2 linked regions of the Caenorhabditis elegans genome follow. The protein of the gene in region 2 purifies or fractionates together with the protein of the main gene of each other region. This does not show direct contact. Each region holds a gene or a part of one and is shown on either strand. Other genes may lie near its edges.

Region 1 (4,771 bases), on a different chromosome or scaffold from region 2:
AGTATTCAAATTTCGAATTTCCTCGGAAGGTACGAAATCGTCGAAAACGGATGTAATATTATTAAGAAGTCCAGTGATGTCTAATTTGACAATTGGCTCTCCTTTTTCATCAGTTTGAACTTCATAAGTAACATCCTTCGTCTGAGGAACACATATTTTATGATCTGAATTCACCGGAGAACTTGGGTCGGATGGTGGCTCGTGAGCATCGATTTTCATTTTAGGAGATGGTTTCTTGTTGTAATGAACAGCTGCATCATAATTATATTTGACATCTGGAAAATATTTTAGTTTTTGAAATGTGAAGAACCTGTACTTTCAGGTGTCATTCCATTTGAGAGACACTTTTGGTAACGGCAATATCTGCAGTTAAATCTATCTTCGTTGTTTGTTGTACATTTTTCATTTTTCTGACGGCATGTATACTTCTTTCCAAGTACGGTTGTTCTTCTGAAATATAGGTTAATACTGAAATTTTGATTATACGGATTTTTCATATTTAAATTCCAATTCTATATTTAAAACAAACCGAAAAAATGCTGCACATGCTCGACAAGAAGCAACCCCAAAATGAACACCATGAGCTGGTTCACAACAAATTTTGCATGTCAAAGTAGAAGAAGTGGGCTCTTGGAGCATATTAAATCGAATAAAAAAGAGGTCAGTGAGAGACTAACAGACTATGTGTCTTGTGCTCTTTCTTCAATTGATATGACGATTGTCCCAATTTTGATAAGATACCATGACATGCTCCTTTGATCAATATTGTGATCGGTGTGACAGAGCAAAGAAATCGAATGTTTGTCTTGTGAGATGGGTCAATGTGTTTTCTGTAAATACATTTAAAAGTTCGAAAAGTCGGAGACAAGTGGAACTTGGCAGACGACAGTTTACCCAAAAAAAAATTGGTTCGAATATGAAATATTTGAATCTAACCTTCGTATGTAAAAATGTAGATGACGATTTTTCTCTGGTGTCCCAAAATAATTGCTATTGTTGAATAGGTGCATATGAAATAACTTTTTTTAATTGGAATACTGGTAATTTAATTTTCTAGTGTTATGCCAAATGCAAAGCTTGCGCCAGGTCTTTCTCAGAAAGTGCATCCTTTGTATAACAGAACCCTTCTGCAGAATACAATTTTTCATAATTATTAAATTATTTTTCGCATTCGCGAGCTGGAAAGTTTTCATCAACTCAAATTAATCATTACATGTAATCCGCTAAACTCATTGTATTGTATACAGTATCTAGATATATCTGTATACAGTATTGAATTTAGTAGTTACTGTGTGCAAAACAGTTCATTTGCACGTGAGCGTACGCCAACTCACAGAAAAACCTACTCCTAATTAAAATTAATTTTTTTTATTAATTAAAATTTTAATTTAATTTTTTTTGATATTCTTCGCGTACTTTTTGTAGAAACATTCATAATTATAAAGCCCCACGTTTGAATAAATTGTTCAAATGTTTTATTAATTTTAATTTTTCAATTATTGCCTCTGAACATAACAGAAAACATTTAAATTATCAAATTTAAGCGAATAAATGTTTAATTTAAAAAAAAAACACACGTATGTAATGTTCACAATGTTTAGTATTTCAAAAACTTTCAAAATATTGCTATTTATTTCAAGTAATAACTGACAGCACTTGAACATTTCGAAACATTTCCAAATTTTGTCTCCACCCATCAGTTTCCCTATAAAAATCGTTTGCTTTCCTTTCACTCGTTTTCTCTGACTTCCTCATACTCTCTGTCGTATCTCAAATACGTTCTCGTTTACATTTTCAACTCCATTCTTTCCCACAAACATTCCTTTTCAGTGAATTTTTGATTTTCGTTGCCAAGTTATTCCGCTCTCATGTTAGCAATTTTTGAAACTCTCAACGCCTTTCTCGTCTTCTTCGAAAACATTTCGTAATATTGTTTATTTCAGAACCAATCATGGCTGATGAGTTGAATGAATTCCAAGAGGCTGGAAATTTTAACGAGGAGGCATTGATGAGACTCTCTAAGTAAGTTTTCATCAAAATGAAACGCTATAGAAACGTTTTTTTCCAGCGTCTGCGCCCGACTTCGCCGTATGCAAATGCTGGAATCTGATGTTGAGATTACTGTTGTCGATGGTGAACTCAAGAGAGTTCCTCGTCAAATGGAGAAAGTCAAGGATGGTCAAGTGGAGAATAACGCCGGAGGATTCGTTTTTCCTGTATCTGATGAAACTCAAGTTCGTCGCTTCTTGATCCTCGGTTCTGACAAAGGAAGCTATCATCAGTCGTCTGAAAAGATCACTATAGACAACGCTCAAAGAATCATCAAAATTATTGAGCAGGGTAACGGACATATGGTTTTGAAAGAGCTGGCATTGATCAATGCTGAAAACCGTAATCCAAAGATGAACGCAATGATCTTCACATTGGCAATTTGTGCTCGAATCTCTACTCATGACACAACGAAGAAAACTGAATGTCCAATGCTCAATGCCTACTCAGATTATATCCGAGCTCTTCATGATTCAGCGCTCGATCTTATTCCGGAGGTTTGCCGTACACCAACCCATCTCTTCGAATTCGTTGATTATTGTCAAACAATCTCTGAAAGTACTAAAGCAGGAGGTGCTAAATCTTCAACTGGATGGGGTCGTTCAATGAGAAACGCCATCAGCAAATGGTATACCACAAAGACAACTGAAAAGTTGGCAATGTTGCTCACAAAATACCCACAACGTGAGGGATGGTCTCATCGCGATCTTTTCCGACTTGCTCATCCCAATCTTATGGATAGCCGTTCTCATGGCCAAAGCGAAGATCGTCTTGAAAGAGAGCAATTGTTCCGATTTGCGGTCAAGGGAGATTTAGTGAAAAGAAAGAGAAAGATGTCTGTCGAGGAAGTTGCTGAAGTTGAGAAGGTCTGGGATAAGAAAGCGTTGAAGCTTCCGTACACCGAGGAACAATTAATTAAGGAAGAACAGAGCAGGTCCGATTTTTGACCATTCTCGGTTTTAATTTTATTCTTGAGTATATAGTTATAATTTATTTTTCAATTAAAAATTAATATCAAAGAAACATTTTCAGAGCTCTCAACCTCGTGGAAGCGTACCTCAAGCTCAAAAACGAACAAAGCGAGGAAGTCATCGTAGCAGCTATCAAGAAACATGGACTTGTCCGTGAGCATCTGCCAACTACAAGTCTCAATTCAAAACTTGTATGGGAAACACTTTTCGATGTTTCAATGCCAATGACTGCTATGATTAGAAATCTTGCAAAAATGACCGTTGTGGGCGCCCTTGATGAGAAGAGAGTTGACAATATCGTGAAACGTCTCACTGATCAAGAGGAGCTGCGTCGTTCTCGAATTCATCCAATAAATCTTCTGACTGCCCGTGCTGTCTATGCTCAAGGTCGTGGTGACAAGGGAAGTCTCACTTGGGAGCCAAATCAAAAGATTTGTGACGCCCTTGAAGCTGGCTTCTACAAGGCATTCGTGAATGCACCACCAACTGGAAAACGATACTGCTTGGCTCTCGATGTTTCTGGTAGCATGACCTCTCGTGTCAGTTCGTCACCACTCTCATGCCGTGAAGCTGCTACCGGAATGTCTTTGATCAACCTTCACAATGAAGCCGAAGTTAGATGTGTCGCCTTCTGTGATAAGCTCACTGAGCTTCCGTTTACTAAGGATTGGAAGATCGGACAAGTTAATGACTACGTTAACAACCTTGATGTAAGTTTCATAATGATTTTAATATTGAATTTAATATTAAATTATTGAATTTTCAGTTCGGCAGAACAGATTGTGGCCTTCCAATGACTTGGGCAACAGAAAATAATCTCAAGTTTGATGTCTTCATTATCTACACCGACAACGATACCTGGGCTGGAGAGATTCATCCATTCGAAGCCATCAAAAAGTATCGTGAAGCTTCTGGTATTCATGACGCGAAGGTCATTGTGATGGCAATGCAGGCATATGACTACTCGATTGCCGATCCATCTGATGCTGGTATGCTCGACATTACCGGATTCGATTCGGCTGTACCACAGATTGTTCACGAGTTTGTTACTGGAAAGATCTAATTTATAGTACTGATCTGTTATTTATTTCGCATGTTTCTTTGTTCATATTTTGTCATTCCATAATAAAAATACGAGGATAAAATTCTTTCATTTGGATTGTTGGATATGATATAGGAACATAGTACATCCACGAATGATGGCGCTATTTGGTTTTCACAACCGTAGCTTGTGAGTAATATTACAAAACGATGATGGAATTTTGAAATGGAAAGAACTACGGTCTCAGGTGAATAAAAAGGATAGTATACAAAGGGAAGGAGGCAGAACAGGAAGAGATGAAAACAAAGAGATTTCTCATTTTAATTCGATATTTACTGAGAATAGATCAAAATATAGTCACTGTAACGACTAAATATTTGTTTAAAAAAGGATATCTGAATGTCAGACAAAGGGGTCAGTTTTCTACAGTCTGCAAAACAGGCTAAAATCGCAATTAATTAAATTCAAGCCATTGTGGTGTCAAATTATCCCATATCATAATCTTCGTTGTCTTCACTTGCTTCATGAATTCGATTGATACTTCCCATAACATTGTGGAATGAGAATTGTGTGAAGTTTGATTGCATTTCTTCTTGCTCATCGACTGTAGCAAGGGCTCCGCTTCTACTAGGCGGTGTCAGTTGAACTGGTTGAGATGTGAATTCCTAAAATAAAATCTTTGTTTCTAGTGAAAAAATTTAAAATGTAT
Region 2 (4,599 bases):
TACCTTCGGACTGTCTGTTCCATTAATAGCGGCTCCCACTTTGATCATCATTTTGAGTTTGGATGTACTGCAATTAATGTGTGATTTAACGAATTATATTGAATTTTAATTATTGGAAAAAGCTGAGAAATTTGAAGTAACCGAGAAATAGCTGTGAAGAAGTTTAAAAAACTTTTTTAGGACTATGAGCCGGATCTTGTCAAGTTTTGTTATCCTAACCAAACATTATTGTGACAAATGCTTCAAGTGGAAATTATTTTTCAAATTTCGTGATAAAATCATTAAAATTAACGACAAAAGGCATCATTTCAGTTCAGCCGGAAGAAAAGAAAAAACAAGGGATATTGAGTCCAGATTAAAGGCGCAGACAATTTTCAGATGGGTCCCGCGACGAACACATAGACAAAAACGCGGATGTTCAAATTAGCGAGTGAACAGTTCAACAAAGAAACATGAATGCGTATTGAAAAATACGCGCATCGTTTTCCCGGTTATAAAAATCATATGTTCCACTTTCTTTTCATTCTAAACAAATTGTCAATTTAAAGTGAAGAGATCAGTTAAAACGGGGTCAAATATAAATACGGGTAATACACACAGATGAGGGTAATTCTAAAAAAAACAATCCAATGTTAAATGTGAGAAAGAAGAATGTTACTATGAAATGACTACTAGAATGATGATAAGTGTGAAATAATTTAGAAACTCCATTTGTTATCTTGTGGATCGGCATTCTCATGAGACTCCTTCTCTCCAGCATCATCGTCGGTGAAGAATTGAGTGATGATGCGGTAAGCCTGAGTATAGATCTGCTCCGATTGACTTTCCTGGAGGCGCTCCAAACTGTCAAGTCCACCATTCTCTTCGACTTGGTCGTGAAGAATGTCCACTTTGTGAGGGTAACTGGAATCACATTTTTGAGAGTGCTAATTATCTAATAAAAACATACCCATTCTGAACAGTGAGCATAAGAGTATACAGAGTCTCCAAAGTATTATTCAGCATATCAGTGTTAGTTTGAAGAAGGGCTTGGCACAAAGCAGGCACTACATTGTCTTCAAGCATGGCGACAACTTGACGATTTGTTCCCCCTTGAGCCAAATTAGAAAGAGCCCAAGAAGCCTCGAACTGGCACTTGTGATCTCCCGACTTCAGAACATTGATGAGAACTGGGAGAAGATTTGCGTCGAGGACAGCTTGAATCTGCTTCTGAGTTCCAGCAATAATGTTGGACACCAACCAGCAGCACTCCTTCACAATGCTTGATGATCGCGTCTTTTCCATCAATGGAAGAATTTCATCGAGTGATCCCAAGTCGATAACCGCCTGTGTCAGCGAGTCATTTCCAGTTGCAACATTACCAAGAGTTCGGAGAGCCGGAGCAACAAGGTTTTCAGCTTCTTTGAAGAAAGCGACGACGTGAGGAAGCACACCACTTTCTCGTGCCAATTCGATTTGCTCATCTGGTCCATCAGTCAAATAAGAAACAGCCCAGCATGCGTCTTGACGGACTTGACGGTCCGTGTGCTAAAGTGAAGACGTTAATTGCGATCGAACATTTTGACAATTACCTGAACAAGTTTGACAAGACCTTTCGACAGAACACGAAGAACTTCTAATGGGGCATGTGGATTCTTATGACGGCACATGTTGGAGAATGCCCATGCAATGGTACGAACATGCGAATCTCCCAGTTGATCGACTTTCTCCATCAAATGCATCAACGCCTCCACTCCATGGCATTTAATAACATAATCACGAAGTTGAGATGAGTCTCCAGCAATGTTAGCGACTGCCCACAAAGCTTGCTCCGAGATCTGCGCACTCTGATGAACTGAAAGATGGATCAGTGGAATTGTTACTCCGGCTTCAACAGCTGCAATTGTTTGCTCGGTGGAACCGGAAACGATATTGGTAAGAGCCCAAGCTGCTTCATATTGAACACGCTCGTTCTGAAAATTGGAAATTATTGAATGGAAATAAAGATCGACCTACCTCAACGCTCAATGCCTGAACCAAAGCCTGAAGCAAACCGCAGTGAATGACTTCATCAATAGGTGGATTCTTCGTCTTTGATAGTGATTTTCTCAACGACTCGAAGCATCGAACCATATCATCTTCCGATGGATTGTTGGAGAGAATAGCTCTAATCTCATCATTTGACAAACGGGTTGATGATTGCTGATGAGATATCTTCTCTGGCTCCTCGAGCTCCGATTCCGAATTGCCACCTTCATCGACGTCGACGATGTTACGGCGTTTCATCATCATGTCCGCTCCTTTTTGCTTTCGAATTTCAACACTGCATTCAGTACGACGACGACGGAGCTCCTGAACAGAACAAATAAATAAATCTCGCAATTACTTTAAATAAGTCGGATAGTAACATTTTTGCATGAAATCTGTTATCAATAATTTAACATACTTCATGCTTGGTGAGATTCTTGTACTGTTGAAGGCGGCCTCCCTCATCCTTTCCCTCTTCGGCATTGTGAGACAGGCTGGTTTCGGTGAGAGTCATAGTTAAGCTTCAATCTGGAAGAACTTATGTGAATATTAAACAAAAATAACACTATTAGAAAAAAGTAGGAGTTTCTGATTCGAAAAAGTTCGGAATAAATCACCTCCATACTTTTTAATAATAAATTTCGCAACGAGATAAATGGGAACTAGTTAAACAGAACTAAAATTTCATGAGAATATTACAAATTCAGTTGAAAAGAATGAGTGGTGAAACTATTTAAGAAAGAAAAGGAGGAAACATTGGGCGATGAAAGCAGAAATGAGCGCCGCGGCCCAAAATTGTTATCAAAAAGTGTAACCTTCGCGCCGAAATTCGAAATGTTGAAGCGAATAAGGCGCCAATAAAGAGCGTTGGCGCCAAACTGATTTTTGGCGGTAACTTAAAATCGAATTGTTTGCTTTTAAAAAATCGCATTAATGCGTATTCATGGAATGTTTTTGAGGAAAAGATTTATACTTCCGAAAATATATAGATTTTCTAGCCCTACAAAAATGAAAAATGCAGAAAACACAAACTCCAATATAAATACCACGATATATCTAACCTTAATTGTACAGTAATCTACCGTAGTTCTAAAAACGGTGCAGCATGCATTTCAACATGATTGAATAAAACATACTGTTGAATAAACAATACTTTATTCGAAAAAGTTCAACGAGCAATCACCATTCCGGAAGTTCTAGTTAACATTTTTGACAGTGTCTGATTTTTTCGTTTACTTTTAAAAATGTGAGTTCGAAGATTTCTGCTAACACATATCATTACAATTGGAGAACCAACAGTTAAAAAGTCTAGAGCTAAAAAGCTAAATCCATAAACGGGGCTTGATGCATCAGTGTATGAGAAGAAAAAGCTGTAGTATATCTGAATGTTCTAGATATTTTTTAAAATTCAGAAGTTAATAACCTGAAATAAAACTTTAAAAGTGAACCCAATGGATATGATAACCGTTGCATTAGAGATTGCTTTTTCTATTTCTTTTGATCTTTCTGGAAGTTTTAACAAAGTAATTGCAGTGCATATAAATGTAAATGATAATGCAATAATAATAAAAACAAGTTGAAAACGAGATTGGCTTGCCTGAAACAATAAATATTAAATATAATGTACATATTTAATGTGCTCCCAGCCTCAGTTCTTGTCACGAACAAGTGTGTTGGGTTACTGTACCCGCTTATCTTCTCGTTTTCCCAGAACTTTTCAATATTTCAGAATTAAAAAACGCATAATTCTAGAAATATGATCAACACAAAAAGAGAGAATGACAAATAGAAAGATTGATGATCTATCATTGTTGCGGGTACGGTAGCTGAAAAATTTTACTCGTCTCGGGATCCGAGACTGTTGAACAAAAAGTTCAGTCGAAAGTGTAGTTTTTCGCATGTGAGGTAATATGTCTAATTTGGTATAATCTGGAATCCTTAAAGTCACACTCATTTATTTTGTAAGGGTCTCTCCAGTTCATCTTTTATTTTTCTGTATGTGGTTCATTAAAACAGTTTCTTCAGTTTCTTTTAGTTTTAAAACAAAAAAGAAATGGAAACAGATGAACTTACCCAGCTAACTTTCTTGAAATAGCTAACCCAGAAACCTCCATACGTGGATTGCATGTAAACTCGAGATATAGCAATATTCCAGTCAGCACAAAATGGAATTAAAAAAACTGCACTAATCACATATTTCAAGCTTTTTCTCCATATTGAATCGTGCGTTATTGGAAACAGGACACACGTCATTCGATTTAAAACTAACAAAACTTGTAAAAGGGATTTACAAATTGATACATGATGAGTTAATAACATTATAATCTTAAACCCAACAAGCGGAGATTGAAAGTAATCAGCGAGAACAGGGCATATTGGTGTAAAGTAAATAAAGAAACGAGCAAATAAACCTTCTGTTATAAGAATTGATATGTTCTGAAGAAAGTACGGTGCCCATTTGAAACCTAATGAAACAACAGATTCAAACAGAAAGGTCTTACAGCGAAATAAATTTATAGTAGCACTTGTGACTTTTTCGTTTATACTTTTTCAATTCAAATTAAAATTCTGATACTCACCAGAAAATCAAGT

Evidence for each region.
Region 1: the proteins of ima-2 (region 2) and rop-1 fractionate together in Caenorhabditis elegans (co-fractionation; one large-scale study listed by BioGRID). This does not show direct contact.

Annotation. Positions count from the first base shown.
Region 1 is NC_003283.11:10,252,228-10,256,998, reverse strand, and holds rop-1 (RNA-binding protein RO60), read left to right. Parts: upstream 1-1,943; 5' UTR 1,944-1,951; coding exon 1,952-2,022; intron 2,023-2,068; coding exon 2,069-2,983; intron 2,984-3,081; coding exon 3,082-3,730; intron 3,731-3,786; coding exon 3,787-4,083; 3' UTR 4,084-4,161; downstream 4,162-4,771. Other genes in the region: nhr-232 (Nuclear Hormone Receptor family), read right to left, coding at 1-275, 317-450, 530-639; Serine/threonine-protein kinase akt-1, read right to left, coding at 4,548-4,727. UniProt on the Caenorhabditis elegans protein: RNA-binding protein that binds to misfolded non-coding RNAs, pre-5S rRNA, and several small cytoplasmic RNA molecules known as Y RNAs.
Region 2 is NC_003279.8:6,313,169-6,317,767, reverse strand, and holds ima-2 (Importin subunit alpha-2), read right to left. Parts: upstream 2,536-4,599; 5' UTR 2,522-2,535; coding exon 2,426-2,521; intron 2,332-2,425; coding exon 1,996-2,331; intron 1,953-1,995; coding exon 1,572-1,952; intron 1,528-1,571; coding exon 950-1,527; intron 904-949; coding exon 699-903; 3' UTR 501-698; downstream 1-500. Other genes in the region: hrpk-1 (Heterogeneous nuclear ribonucleoprotein K homolog), read right to left, coding at 4-51; srg-14 (Serpentine receptor class gamma-14), read right to left, coding at 3,176-3,388, 3,431-3,604, 4,081-4,443. UniProt on the Caenorhabditis elegans protein: Nuclear transport receptor that mediates nuclear import of proteins, and which is involved in sister chromatid cohesion. Binds specifically and directly to substrates containing either a simple or bipartite nuclear localization signals (NLS) motif.